Linked DNA regions of Pelodiscus sinensis. The protein of the gene in region 1 purifies or fractionates together with the protein of each later gene. This does not show direct contact. Links are inferred from orthologs where the notes say so. Each region holds a gene or a part of one and is shown in the gene's direction. Other genes may lie near its edges.

Evidence for each region.
Region 2: the proteins of EIF3H (region 1) and EIF3J purify together in Homo sapiens (affinity purification with mass spectrometry; 3 studies listed by BioGRID and IntAct, with this or other methods). This does not show direct contact. The link is inferred for Pelodiscus sinensis from reciprocal best matches to the Homo sapiens genes EIF3H and EIF3J.

What each region holds. Positions count from the first base shown.
Region 1 is NC_134712.1:23,925,365-23,932,982, forward strand, and holds the start of EIF3H (eukaryotic translation initiation factor 3 subunit H), read left to right. Parts: upstream 1-4,617; 5' UTR 4,618-4,669; coding exon 4,670-4,789; intron 4,790-7,618.
Region 2 is NC_134724.1:891,450-898,924, forward strand, and holds the start of EIF3J (eukaryotic translation initiation factor 3 subunit J), read left to right. Parts: upstream 1-4,461; 5' UTR 4,462-4,595; coding exon 4,596-4,620; intron 4,621-4,714; coding exon 4,715-4,821; intron 4,822-7,475. UniProt on the Homo sapiens protein: Component of the eukaryotic translation initiation factor 3 (eIF-3) complex, which is required for several steps in the initiation of protein synthesis.

The sequences.
Region 1 (7,618 bases):
ATTTTTAAAAAGTAAATTAAGCTTAGTTTGAGTGCTTTGCTTAATAATCTGCTTTGTTCTGTTTGCTACCTCTCTAACCACTTAAAATTCACCTTTCATAGTTAAACTTATTTCTTATTTTTAATATAACCCAGATTGTGGAATTCATAATGGTGGGGGGGAGGGGGACTGTACATATTTTCCTCCGCATTGAGGGAGGAGGTGGATTTCATAATATATCTTTGGGTCTGTACTGAATGCTGAGGCAAGTTCCTTAAGATGAGTCTTCCTAGAGCTGATCTGCAGAATGACAGACACTGAGTTGGGTGTGGCCCTGCCTGTCTGTATCCTGGAGGAGGATTAATATCCTGGTTCAGCAAGATAGGTGGAAAAGATGTCCAGATTGCCACTGCTGGCAGGCTCAGTGGTATCTCAGCACATCAGGTAGCAACCTGTGCGGAGCTCTTGGACACAATTATTGGTATTAGTATAGAATATAAATTGCCATAGGCAAGGTAGTCTAGAATTTTAAGTAGACAGAAGGAAGGCTAGCATAAAGTCATTTCCAAAGTCTACTAACATCCAGGAAATTACATCTTTCAACCTGTTCTGTGGAGAACACTGATTCCCCTTACATTTGTATTACAATTACACCCTACAATATCATATCTCACAACACACTACAATACTCTTTTTATGTAGGCTCAAGGCTATCACTGCTTCATACAAACCTGACCTGTTAGGGTATGTCTACATGGCTGCAGCTGGCTAGGGTCAACTAGTTGAGCCATGCAAGGATCAGAATGCGGGACTGACTATTTCTGTTTAGATGCTTGGGCCGGAGTTTGGGCTCTGGGACCTCCTGTCTCTGAGGGTCCCAGGGCTTGGACTTCAGCCCAAATGTCTACACAACAATTGTATAGCCCCCAAAGCCTTCATTCCCTCTCCTCTAATTCTTCCTGTTGGAAAATCTTCAGTGCTAACTCTTGTCCCCTTAGGTGACACATGTGGGCATGTACAGTCACATTTGTCCCTTGATTTCCTGGTGGGAGTTGGGCTGAGTGCAGCTGAAAGGATTTGCCTGGAAAAGCCACCAGCAGTGAGCACTCCCACGGAGTCACACAGAGCAGAGTGGTGAGACTGGGCTGGCAGCACAGCACTGCCAGATGGGACCTAGAGAAGCCAAATCACGTTCTTTTTATGTCAAAGCAGGTGCAGTTACCTGCTTGAGTATGTGTCTAGACTAGCCTGCCAAGAACTTGGGAGTCTGTTGGGGTAATGGGGAGGAGAGGAAGTGGGGCCTGAGGGAGAGGTGGGGAATCCAGGGAGGCAACAGGGGTGGGTGGAATGCCTAGGGAGAGAGTTGATAGGGGCTGGGAGAAGCAGTAGGGGCCAGGGAGGATTGGGGAAGCAGCAGGGGCCAAGATGCTGGATAAGTCACTGGGGGCCAGCGGGCCATCTTCTCTAAAGCTGACCTGGTAATGCTAGTCTTAACGGTAGGTGACCAACATGGCTTCCATGGTCAGGAGGGTGCCTTGGTGATGGTGGGGCTGCCATTGTGCTCCCATCAATCTCAGCCTGGACCATTCTACATGACAAATCTATTTCCTGGACACCCCAGTACAAATCACCAATGGTAAAATAGACACCACTCTCTACAGAAACCCACCGACACATATAGTTACCTACATGTCTCCAGCTCCCATCCAGAACACACCATACGATCCATCATCTACAGCCAAGCCTTTCAATACAACCGCATCTGCTCTAATCCCACTGATAGAGACCAGAAACTTCAGGATCTCTACCAACCATTTATAAACCTCAACTACTCACCCAGAGAAAGAAAAAAACAAATTGAAAGAGCCAGACGAATACCCAGAAACCATCTACTTCAAGACAGACCCAAGAAAACCAACAATAGAACACCACTTGTCATCACCTACAGCCCCCAACTTAAACCCGTCCAACACATTATCAATAAACTACAACCTATACCAGAACAGGATACTAAACTCCAAGAGGCTCTGGGAGACAGACCCCCATAGTCTCCTATAGACACACCTAACCTCAAGATGATTCTTACCAACAACCACAGGACCTACCACACTAATACCAGCCCTGGAACCTTACCTTGCAACAAACCCTGTTGCCAGCTTTGTCCACATATTCATTCTGCTGATACCATTATTGTACCTAACTTATTGAGTTATAAGATCAAAAACACACATTCCTGCTCATCCAGAAATACAAATTTATTCTCTCATGTGCTAATAATGTCTGTCTGCTATGTACATTGGACAAACGTCTCAGACACTTCGCCAAAGAATCAATGGCCACAAAATAGATATTAGACAGGATCACAAAGAATAAACAGTTTATTGCCATTTCAACCAGAAAGGGCATTGTCTCAAGGACTTAACTACCTCCATCCTGCTTCAAAAACATTTTAACATTAGACTTGAAAGAGAATCCTCTGAACTGTCATTCATGCTTAAATTTGACGCTTTACACCTAGGTCTTAACAAGGACGCTAATTATCATACCCATTACAAAGATAGCTTCCCCAATTATCACCTCTAATATCATTAGCTCACAGTCATTTAACTCCCCCCTCATCCCCTTTCTGTTCTGAAATTTGATTTGTCCTTTTTATATGTGTTCATTTTTTTGATTGTATCCTTTGGTATATATAGTCCTGCCAATTTTCTTCCACTATTTGATCTGAGGAAGTGGGTCTGGCCCACAAAAGCTCATCACCTAGTAAACCATCTTGTTAGTCTTTAAAATGCTACATAGTCCTGTTTTTTGTTTCACCAACACCAGACTAACCTGGCTACATTTCTATTAATATTATTCTCAGTTACCTATGCTTGTCCCCCTCTCCTTTACCCTCAGCCCATATCCTCTTAGGAAGTCTTCAGCACCACATCCTCATTTGCCTTGAATCCTGTTGGTCGGTGGATTGCCAGCACAAGCCCTTAACCAATGATTCAGCCCTGGTCTGATCATAGAATCATATAATCATAGGACTGGAAGGGACCTCGAAAGGTCATCGAGTCCAGCCCCCCGCCCTCAGGGCAGGACCAAGCTCCGTCTACACCATCCCTGACAGATGTCTATCTAACCTGTTCTTAGATATCTCCAGAGAGGGAGATTCCACCACCTCCCTTGGCAATTTATTCCAATATTTGACCACCCTGACAGTTAGGAATTTTTTCCTAATGTCCAATCTAAACCTCCCCTGCTGCACTTTAAGCCCATTACTCCTTGTCCCGTCCTCAGAAACCAAGAGGAACAAATTTTCTCCTTCCTCCTTGTGACACCCTTTTAGATATTTGAAAACCGCTATCATGTCCCCCCTTAATCTTCTTTTTTCCAAACTAAACAAGCCCAGTTCATGAAGCCTGGCTTCATAGGTCATGTTCTCTAGACCTTTAATCATTCTTGTCGCTCTTCTCTGTACCCTTTCCAATTTCTCCACATCTTTCTTGAAATGTGGCGCCCAGAACTGGACACAGTACTCCAGCTGAGGCCTAACTAGTGCAGAGTAGAGCGGCAGAATGACTTCACGAGTTTTGCTTACAACACACCTGTTGATACAACCTAGAATCATATTTGCTTTTTTTGCAGCAGCATCACACTGTTGACTCATATTCAACTTGTGGTCCACTATGACCCCTAGATCCCTTTCCGCCATGCTCCTTCCTAGACAGTCGCTTCCCATCTTGTATGTTTGGAACTGATTGTTCCTTCCTAAGTGGAGCACTTTGCATTTCTCTTTATTAAACTTCATCCTGTTTACCTCTGACCATTTCTCTAACTTGCTAAGGTCATTTTGAATTATGTCCCTATCCTCCAAAGAAGTTGCAACCCCACCCAGTTTGGTATCATCTGCAAACTTAATAAGCGTACTCTCTATCCCAATATCTACATCATTGATGAAGATATTGAACAGTACGGGTCCCAAAACAGACCCTTGAGGAACTCCACTTGTTCTCCCTTTCCAGCAGGATTTAGCACCCTTAACAACAACTCTCTGACTACGGTTATCCAGCCAATTATGCACCCACCTTATCGTGGCCCTATCTAAGTTATATTTGCCTAGTTTATCAATAAGAATATCATGCGAGACCGTATCACCACCTGTCCTAGAGCAAAGCGATGCAACACGTGTGCGTGCTGGGACACGGGCTGCCTTCCTAGGAACAGCTCTATGTCACTTGGCGAGTGACCTTCCCCACCCCCGCACAGTCCTAGTGTGGACGCAGCTCCCGCAGTCGGAAGGCGCTCGGGCTGCTCCAGCACAGCGGCTTCCCCCAGCGCATCCCACGGGGCGGACGTGCCACAACCCGCCCTTCGGCCGCGCTCACACTAACCCGGCACCTTCAAGGCCGCCCCACGGCTTGTCTCTGCACATACGTGTAGGGGGAGGGGCAGGAGAGCCGTGACGACTGATCAGTGACGCGCGTGGGTATATTTCCCTAGCTCCTTCCCCAACACGCACCCCCATTTTCTTCTACGCACGCGCAGTGTCTCCCATCCACTTAACTGCGGCCCTTTTTGACCCTTCCCTTCGTTTCCGTCCGAACCTCGTTCAGGAGCCCACCGCAGGGTTCTTAGCCGCGCTTCCGGTGTTTCATTTTTCTCTTTCCGGCCGGCGAGCGGGTGAGAGGAAGAGTCTCTCAGCATGGCGTCTCGCAAGGAAACCACGGGGCCCGCCAGCACCGTCTCCTCGGTCGCCACTAAAGCCAGGGGCAAGGCGGCCCCGGGGGACTCGGCGGTCAAGCAGGTGCAGATCGACGGGCTGGTGAGTGAGCGGAGGGTCCCTGCGGCCGCTTGGGGGGCGAGCAGAGTTCGGGGCCGCGCGGGGGCAGCGCGGCGTGTAGCTCTGGGCACGTTCTGCGGAGAGAGTCGGTGCCCGCCCTCCCCTCCCCACTGGTATCGGCCTGGGGCAGGCAGGAGTGGCGCCCAGAGGAGCCCGCGCGGCTGGGGGAGAGGCGGTCAGCTCCGCTTGTGCGACCGCCTGTGATGGCTTGTCCGGGGATAAGGGCGGCTGGCTGACGAAACCCCTTCCCAGAGGACAAAGGCAGCTCCTGGCCACCTTCCCCCTGCGGGCTGGTGCTGGTGGTTTCCAGGATATACTAAGGATGTCAAAAAGCGTGTAACTTGTCAGTCGTGTAGTGGACACATTTTTTTGTCGACTACACAATTTATCTTTATGGGGTGGTGCTGCTACCACTCAGTCCCGATTCCTACCAAATCCGGCTCCTACCCCCGCTGTGGCTCTGCATTACAAGCACTTCCAGAATTAATAGCTGGCGCACGGTCAGGCTGGCTCAGTCTTGGCTCATGCCGGGACCCAGCAACTACCCCTGCTGCGGTTCTGCACTGTGCTGGTGTGGGGGTTGATCCTGGGTCTTGCACACGAGCCAGAACTGAGACAGTCTCTGAAAACATCCATTCAATGTGCAGCAGTAGTAAAAAAAACAAAAAACAAAAACAAAAAAAAACCCCAATAACCCAAAGGGCTAGAGAATAAGAGAACATCTTATTTCTTCTATATAAATCCACGGTACACTCATGTCTTGAATAATGTGTGCAGATGTGGCTGCCTAATCTCAAAAAAGATATGTTGGCATTGGAAAAGGTTCAGAAAAGAGCAACAAAATGATTAGGGGGTTGGAATGGGTGCCATATGAAGAGAGAGAAAAAAGACTGGGACTTTTCATGTTAGAAAAGAGGAGACTAAGAGGGGATGTGATAGAGGTCTATAAGATCATGAGTTGTGTGGAAAAAGTGACTAAGGAAGGGTTCTTTACTTTTTCCCATAACATAAGAACTAGGGGGTCACCAAATGAAAGGAATAGGTAGCAGGTTTAAAACAAAAGGAATTTTTGCTCATGCATTGTACAGTGAACCTGTGAAATTCCTTGCCAGAGGATGTTGTGAATACTAGGATTTTAAAAGGGTTAAAAAAGAACTAGATACATTCATGGTGGTTAGGACCATCAGTAGCTGTTAGCCAGGATGGGTAGGAATGGTGTCCCTAGCCTCTGTTTGTCAGAAGCTAGAAATGGATGACAGGACAGGGATCACTTGATGATTCCCTGTTCTGTTCTCTTTCTCTGGGGCATCTGGCATTGGCCACTGTTGGAAGACAGTATGCTGAGCTATATGGACCTTTGGTTTGACCCAGTATGGCTGAGTGCCTGGATCTGTCACCAGCCCCTGCTGTGACTTAGCCACTCAGCCAGCCTGGTTAAAATTTACTTGCAGGGCAGGGGGGTTGCATGTAGTTGATAACATTAACTTATAAAAACTGGTTTATCGGTTAATCATTTAGTCGACTATACTGTTACATTCTTAGGGAGTACCTGGCGTAAATTCCTTCCTAAACTGCCTTAGGAAGTATAGATCAGTACTGCTGTTTGGGGGTGCGTCGAGAGGGGTTGAAAGCTACCTGCAGAGCAATGTTCAGGGTAAAGGCACATGTCCAGGCCGCCTCTGGGACCTGTGGTATTTTGGTAATGGAGTCCAACACTACCTGCTACCAGGGTCTTCCCCCAGTTTCTTTTTTCCACCTTTTAATGTTCCAGCACAGGAAAGGTGCAAGTAAACACAGAATTGTAGTATTGGAAGGGATCTCCAGAAGTCTTCTAGTCCAGTGTTTCTCAACTTACTTTTTCAAAAAAAAAAAAAAAAAAAAGTACCCCTAGTACCTACAGTTTTCAGACATACCATTTTTTTTCTACCATTGTAACACATTTGTTTAAACAATTTAATCGTATCCAGGCGGGCAATGAAATTTTTGGGTATAAAAAGTACAAAAATAATAAAGCTCTGTAAAACTTAAAACAAAATTTCTGTTTTCTCCAAATTTCAGTTGTGTTGATGTATCCCCCAGACTTCTCTCAAATACCCTTAAGGGTACTCAATCACTGGTTGAGAAACACAGTTCTAGTCCAGTCCGCTGTACTTACGGTAGGACTGCGTTTTAACTAGGTCACTGCTGACCAGTGTTCCCTGTAAGCTAAGTGCTTGGGCTCCCACACAAGAGAAGCTCAAATGCTGCACAACTGATTAGCAGAGCACTCAAAGTCTGCAATATGTATTTCTACTGGTGGTGCATATCTGCACATGCCACGGTTCATATAATACAATTTATTTTGCTCATGGATGGAAAAAATTACAGGGAACACTGCTCCAACAGGTATTTAAGTACTTTTAGAAACCTCCAATGACAGAAACTGCAAAACCTCCCTAGGTAATTTTTCCAATGCTGAACTACACTGAGAGCTATGAATCTTTTTCCTAGTATTTTACCTAAACCTCTTTTGCTGTAATTTAAGCGTATGGTTTCTTGTTCTTTCTCCAGAGGTTAACGAGAACAATTTTTTTCTCCTTCTTGTAACAGTTATTTTATTTACTTGAAAACTATTATGTCCCATCTCAGTCTTCTCTATTCCAGACTGAACAAACCCAATTTTTTTCATTCTTTCCTCAAAGATCATGTTAAGTTTTTGTTGCTCTTCTGTGGACTTCCTCCAATTTGTTTATTTTTACATTGCTTATTGTGTCTTTCTTACAGCACTCGTGTTAACATCCCAAAATAATGATTGCTTTTTTGCAACAGCAT
Region 2 (7,475 bases), on another chromosome or scaffold:
GTAAATTCAGAATGCTCTCACTAAACCACAGGACCTAGCACCTTGTACCAAGAATAATTACCAGCATGCTGAATAGATCGTATCTTTGCTGGGCGCCAAGCACTGGACCAAAGACCAAGGTTAGATTTTGTCAATGACATCTTTATTTGCCATTGTCCTAAATCCATCAGACGGTATTCAAGTCAGGGTAATGACGAGCTACCAAAAAACTAACTACTGTGGCAAAGCTCCGGCTGTGCCCTGAGGGTCTTGCATTTCTAGCCAGTTGTTGAAGCAAAATACAGGACTATGTAGCACTTTAAAGACTAACAAGATGGTTTATTAGATGATGAGCTTTCGTGGGCCAGACCCACTTCCTCACATCAAATAGTGGAAGAAAATAGTCACAACCATATATACCAAAGGATACAATTTAAAAAAATGAACACATATGAAAAGGACAAATCACATTTCAGAACAGAAGGGGGATGTGGGGGGGGGGAGGTAAATGTCTGTGAGCTAATGATATTAGAGGTGATAATTGGGAAAGCTATCTTTGTAATGGGTAAGATAATTAGATTGTTTGTTGAGACCGAGGCGTAAAGTGTTGAATTTTAGCATGAATGACAGTTCAGAGGATTCCCTTTCAAGTGCAAGTATATGTGGTTGTGACTATTTTCTTCCACTATTTGATCTGAGGAAGTGGGTCTGGCCCACGAAAGCTAATAAACCACCTTGTTAGTCTTTAAAGTGCTACACAGTCCTGTATTTTGCTTCAGCTACAACAGACTTACACGGCTACATTTCTATCACTAGCCAGTTGTTGTTTGCCTCACAGGCTCGCTGTGACCCTGCACACTAGAGGGCCTTTTCTAGAGGCCAGGGTCACAGCTTACTTGAGCCATCCTGATCATTGGCAAAGTTACAGGATTGGGATGAAACCCCTCCATAATCCAGGCATCCCTTTCAAGGAACAGACCCTTTTAGTGGTGTGGGGAGGGTTCAGGGGAACTCAGGTCCACCCGCTACTCTGGATTCTGGCCCAGGGACCCTAGGTAGTGGCTACTGTCAGGGCTTTAGTCTCTAGCCCTAATACAGCAGCCTTTTCCCTGGGCCAAGTCCCCAAATGCTCCCCTAGTTCCTTCTCCCTGGTACTGAGCTAATCTTTCCTGCTTCAGCCCAAATACTCTCCTTTTTGCTAGGAATGTTAGCATATAGTTGTTTAAAGATTAACTGATAAACCTGGGCTTATCGGTTAATTCAAACAGCTGCACACACACACCCCAAAGGGGGGCTGGCAGAAGCCAGTGCCTGCAGGGAGCCTCCACCCCCACTGCCTCCCACAGAGACAGCAACGCAGGGAGCAGGTGGGAGCTGGAGCTCAGGAATAGTCATCTTAATAATAAACCTTCCCATCCCTAATCTATAGAGGTGCTGGCTCTGGCTAGCTGCCCAAGTATGCACTCAAGGACTCAGGTAGGACTGTACAAACTCAAAGCTAGCCGCTACTTGTGCTGCAATCACACCACCTGACTGCTGTAGAGAATAAAGGAGAACACGCATGAAGCTATGTTGTAGCCGATGCTTCACAGCAGCCTGTGCGCCTTGTCTCCAGACTTTTCAGCCATGCTAATCAGAACATTTTAGTGAATGTGCTCGGACATCAGACCTTTTACCCTAGTCTAGGCAAGGCCAGAAGAAACCCAGCAGAGAACCCTGCTGCTGCCGCCTTCCCCAATCAGGCAAGAGCTCTCTCTCCTAGCCCCAAAGCACTTGTCAACAGAGGGACCCAAGCCCAAAGAGAATTCCCCCACACAACCAGACACCTTTCCCTGTGGAATCTCAGCCAGAGACCCCCCCCTCACTTCCCCTAGAGATCTTCCCTTCCGTCACCCAGCCACAGTCCCCTGAGATGGCTCCCTATCTACCTCAAGGCCCACAAAAGCTCATGATCCTAGATATCTAGGGTACCTTGTCTCTAAGGCTGTGTCTAGACTGGCATGATTTTGCAGAAATACTTTTAACGGAAAAGTTTTTCCGTTAAAAGTATTTCCGCAAAAGCGCGTCTAGATTGGCAAGTGCCTTTGCGCAAAAGATTTGCTTTTGCACAAAAGCATCCGTGGCCAGTCTAGACGCGATTTTGCGCAAGAAAGCCCCGATCGCCATTTTAGCCCTTGGGGCTTTTTTGCACAAAACAGTTCTTCCCTGTCTACGCTGGCCCTCTTGCGCAAGTATTCTTGCGCAAGAGGGCTTTTTCCCAAGCAGGAGCGTAAAAGTATTTGCGCAAGAAGCCCTGATTTTGTACATTACAAAGTCAGTGCTCTTGTGCAAATTCAAGCGGCCAGTCAAGATGCACCCTAAGGGTATGACTGGAATACGTTGTTTTTTCAAAAAAACTGCACCTGTGGCCACACTACAATCGTGTTCTTTCAAAATTAAATCAAAAGAACGCAGGGGTTTTTCGATATTGGTAAACCTCAAATTATGAGGAAGAATGCCTTTTTAGAAAGAGCTCTTTTGAAAAAAGGCATGTGTGGACGCAGAACAGGGACATTTTTCGATAGAGGTAGCAATTGAAAAAAACACAGGCGCCCTGGTGGCCATTCAGGGAATAGCAAACAAGGCTTTCTTCTGAGAGAGTGTCCATGCAGTCTGGATACTCTTTTGAAAAAGATCACTGTTTCCATCTGGTTTTGAGGTCTGGATGCTCTTTCCAAAGAAGCTTGCAGTCTAGATGTACCCTCTGGTACGACAAGACTGGTGGTTGTTTTTTAAGTAATGCCACGAGCAGTTAACTGCTTTTGCTACTTCCACTCTAGCTCATCTGAGGAAGTGGGTCCAGAAAGCTCATGACCCTAGACCCGTGGTCGCCAACTGGTCGATCGCGATCTACTGGTCGATCGCGAGGCGTCCTGTCCGCCCTGCCCTCATTTCCCTCCCACCCCCGAGATGCCCCACTACCTACCTCAAGTGAAAATGGAGGTAGTGTCGGCTTCCCGGGGATGGACAGAAGTCCCGCAGCTTAGCGCCACTTCCGGTGAGTCCAGAAGTGCACTAGCTGCTCTGCCGGGTGCACTGCGGGAGGGAGCATCGGCTCCCTGCACCGCACAGGAGGGGTGAGTCAGCCCCGGGGGAGGCGCGCCGGGAGTTTCTCAGCGCGCGCGGGGGGAGGGGGTGTTGGCCCCGGGGCAGGTGTGTGCATGAGGGGCTTCCCTGCACGGGGGGGCTTGGCCCCAGGGCAGGCGCGCGCGTGCGTGGAGCTTCCCTGTGCGGGGGTGAGGGTGTCGGCCCCGGGGCAGGCGTGCGCGGGGCTTCTCTACGCCGTGGGGGGTCGGCCCGGGGCAGGCACGCGCTGGTTTTCCTGGCGGGCGGGGAGGGTAGGAATCCTGGGAGGAGGCAGATGCAGAGGATTCTCTGCCTCCACTGGCACCCCACTCCCCAGCCACAGAACGCCATCCCCACTCCCGTCCCCACTCCCCGAACGCTGTCCCCACTCTCCTGTCCCCAGCCACAGAACTCTGTCCCTATTCCCGTCCCCACTCCCTGAACTCTGCCCCCACTGGCACTCTGTCCCCTGCTGCAGAACCCTGTCCTCTGCCCTCCCAGCACCCTGTTCCCTCTCCCCTGCCCCCAGCCACAGAACTCTGTCCCCACAAAATGTGTAATTTTAAATTCTTGATTTTAGACGTAAATAGCATGAATAAAAAACAGACCATTTATTTCATAACTATAAACACGTGATTTTAATTGTTTGTATCGCATAATTTAAAAATAAACTTTATCAGAGTGTGTAAGGGCTGGGGATAGCAAGTGATGGACAGGAGGAGACGAGAGAGGGCGGGGCTTCAAGGAAGGGGCGGGGCGGTGGATCTTGGCTTGGTCTGTCATTTAAAAAGTGATCTCGGGTGCAAAAAGGTCGGAGAGCCCTGCCCTAGGCAGTGGTTGGTCTCTAGGGGCTGCCTGCCCCGTGTTTGTAAAGTTACAGATTAACAGGGCTGCCCCCTGAGCCTCCTTTCCAGAGCCCCCCCCAGAGCCCCCCCCACCATGTCCCCCCCACCCAGAGCCCCCCTCCAACCATGTCCCCCCACCCAGAGCCCCCCCACCATGTCCCCCCCAACCATGCCCCCCCCACCCATGTCCCCCCCACCATGTCCCCCCCACCCAGAGCCCCCCTCCAACCATGTCCCCCCACCCAGAGCCCCTCTTCCCCCGTGTCCCCCCCACCCAGAGCCCCCCTCCAACCATGTCCCCCCCACCCAGAGCCCCCCCCACCCAGAGCCCCCCTTCCCCCAAGTCCTCCCTTCCCCATGCCCCCCCGAGCCCCCTCCCCCTCTTTTCCCCCCAGACTCCTGCCCCGACGCCCCACTCCCAGCCCCCCCCTCGGTCGCTCCCTCCCTCCCTCCCTCGAGCGCGCGAGCCCAGCCGCGGCCCCGCGCTGCCTCCTCGCGCGCTCACGCGGATCCGCCCGCGCGCTGCCCCGCCCTCCCTCGCGCCGGGGGGGCGGGGCCTGTCCGTCCGCCGCTATCCCGGCGTGCCCCGCGCTCCGGCCGACTGGCGGGGACGCTCTCGGCTGGGGCTGACTCAGCCCGCGGGAGGCGCCTGTTCCGCGGGGCAAGATGGCGGCGGAGGCGGATTCCTGGGGTAGGTGCTGGCCGCGCTCGCGGCCCCGGCCCCCCCCCCCCCGTATCCCCCCGCCCACCCGGCCTGACGCGCGCTCTCTCTCTCTCCCCCACAGACGCGGACACCTTCGAGGCGGCGGAGCCGGTGGCCAAGCGGCTGGTGCCGACGCCGGGGGCCGCGGGCGACCGCTGGGCCGGGGAGGATGAGGAGGACGATGTGAAGGTGGGGCCCGGGGCCGCGTGTGCGGAATAAACGTACCGCGTGCGCCGAGGGGCACCACCGGCGGGGCGGGCCGAGCGCTCCCGGGCACGCGGGCTGCCCCGGCGGGGGGGGGGGGCTGCGAGCGCCCCCGCCCACCCGCGAGTCTCCATCTTAACGAGGCGGTGGGAGTCTCCTCCCGCTGAGCGACACTCGCCGGCGAGCTCGTGGCCTGGGCGCGGGCCCGGCGGGGGGGGGGCCGGTTCCGCGTCACCTGAAGCCTTTTAAAACGCTCTAGTCCGATCCGCAGTGGCGCCTGAGCTGGGACTTACTCGAGTTCAGTCGGTGCCATGTCACGTGCTCTGAACCCCGCCTGCATGGGCACTGCCTGGCCAGCGCTAGAAAGGTCCAGTGAGCCGGGACTAGACACGTCTCCGAATGGGCCGCTTCCCCCGGCCGAGAACTGCGCTTGCTCTTAGGTTTCTCAGTTCAATGACTATGGTTACCCGCCTGTAACTTCCTTCCCACTGGCCCGTCTGTCTCCTTTCCAGAGCAAAGCCCCTGTCCGTTAAAAGATGTCTACAATCCCAGTAAATAGAGCACTCTGTGTGTGTTGCCCATTTACCACATTTAAGTTGCTGGCAGGCCTCTCTACTAAACTTCCCTGGGATCTGCCGGCATTCAACTTTTGGACTCTCCTCTGGAGATTGTCTGTATCACCTGCCCCCTTACAGGTTCTTACCTGATGCAGCAACTGGGGAAGAGGTGTGCACTGAGGGAAGTTTGAGTGGTTGAACTTTTTCCAAATAGCCCCGTCTTGGCATTCCTTATCTCCCACAGGGCAGAAACGTGTCTTTACTTTAGTGGTGTCTCTTGTAAACCTAGGCAGTCCTTCATTGTTTCTTTTAGTATTAGCTAGTGCTCAGAGGGTTAAAATGGTACCAATCTATTAGGTGTGTCTACACTTGCACCCTCTTTTGAGCGAGGGATGCAAATGTAGACATTCAAAATTATAAATGAAGCCAGGATTTAAGTATTCGCGGATTGGTGCTATTTCGAAATAAAAAACTCTGTTTAGATGTGGTTATTTCAGGAGAAAACCCTTCTCTCAAAATAACCCTTACTCCTCAAAAAATGAGTAAGGGTTATTTTGAGGGAAGGGTTTTCTGTCGAAATAAACTCCCTCCCCTTTTTCTCCCTGCAAAATAGCACTATTGCGAAATAGAGCCATAGTGCGATTATGCAAATGAAGCATGGGATATTTAAATCCTTACTGCAGTTGCAATTTTGGGTGTCTACATTTGCATTCCTCTCCCGAGAGAGAGGAATAAAGTGTAGACATACCCTTAGAGAATCATGGAGCTGGTTTGCTGTCTTTCACGTTCGAGTTTGAACTAAATGTTCAACTTTAAACCTAGTCTGTTTAACAGAAGCATGTTGATTGCCTAAATGCTATGCAGCATAATTCCCTTAACAAGAAAGACAAGTTGTGAGGGATACCCCAAAAATTCTAGGTCTTAGACCTTGGGCATATATCAGCAACTGGCAATGACTACTGTACTAGGAAAGTTAAATATCAGTTAATCAAATAGTTGAGTAATCTCAAAAATTCTTATCGGTTAGTCCACTATTCTGTAGTCCTTGGGGGCAGGACCGGCAGCCAGTGTGCTCCAGCCCCACTCCTGAAGAGCCCCCTGTCACTTCGCGTTGCTACCTGTATCAGAGGCAGCAGCACAGGGTGCCAGGCAGGAGCTGATCCACGAGGGGAGGCAGTTTAAAAACCAGCTCATCTCGCAGACAGCTGTTGCCCTCTGCTGCTACCTTTGATAAAGAAGCAGCAGGATAGGATGGCAGCAGCCCCTGTCTGAGGGGGGTCTGAGCTCCTGGACCTGAACCAGGCTGCCTTCCTGCCTGCCTGGCTCCTAATACACTTTAAATGCAGAGCCGCAGCAGGGGTAGGTCCCAGACCCATTTCAAGCCAGAACAGCCAGCCTGCTGGCCAGCCTGCAAAAACATTTACTGGCAAGTCGGGGGGCAAGGGGTGCGGTGCGTTTAGTCTTCAGCAGTGTGTCCCAATTTTATTTGGCCATGGAACCCTTTTAAACTCAGAAGAATTTCAAGGAACCCCTTCAGCTGGGGGGAAGATTTGTCAAGGGGGGGGGCCCACCAGGAAAAATGTGTCGAGCACAAAATAAAAGGCGGGCGGGGGCAGAATGGACCAGGGAGACTTGCAGGCTTTGGGAACCCAGAGTGGCAGCGGGGGAGAGGAGGTGTCTGAAAGCCGGCGGGAAACCAGAGAAGCATCCAGCATCTTTGTGTGCCGATACCTCTCTGTCTCTTTGGGGGGGGGGAGGGAGAGAAGTAATGAAGTTCTCGCGGAACCCTTACTTTTGCTTCCCAGAACCCCAGGGTTCCGCGGAAACACTGGTCTATAGCATTAACCTATAAGCTTTTGCTAATTGGTTAATTGACGACACTATTACATCCCTATTCTATAAGGTGCCACAGGACTCCTCGCCGCTTATCCCTATTCCATACAACTATATCTAACAGACATCAGAATGACGAGAGGGTATATACTATCTCTGGAATCTAAGATCTTCAAAGGGGTCTTTGGTTTTGTAAAAATATTTTTAAAATGGGTAAAGGTAGTGTTCTAAAGTTAGACATTGAATCAT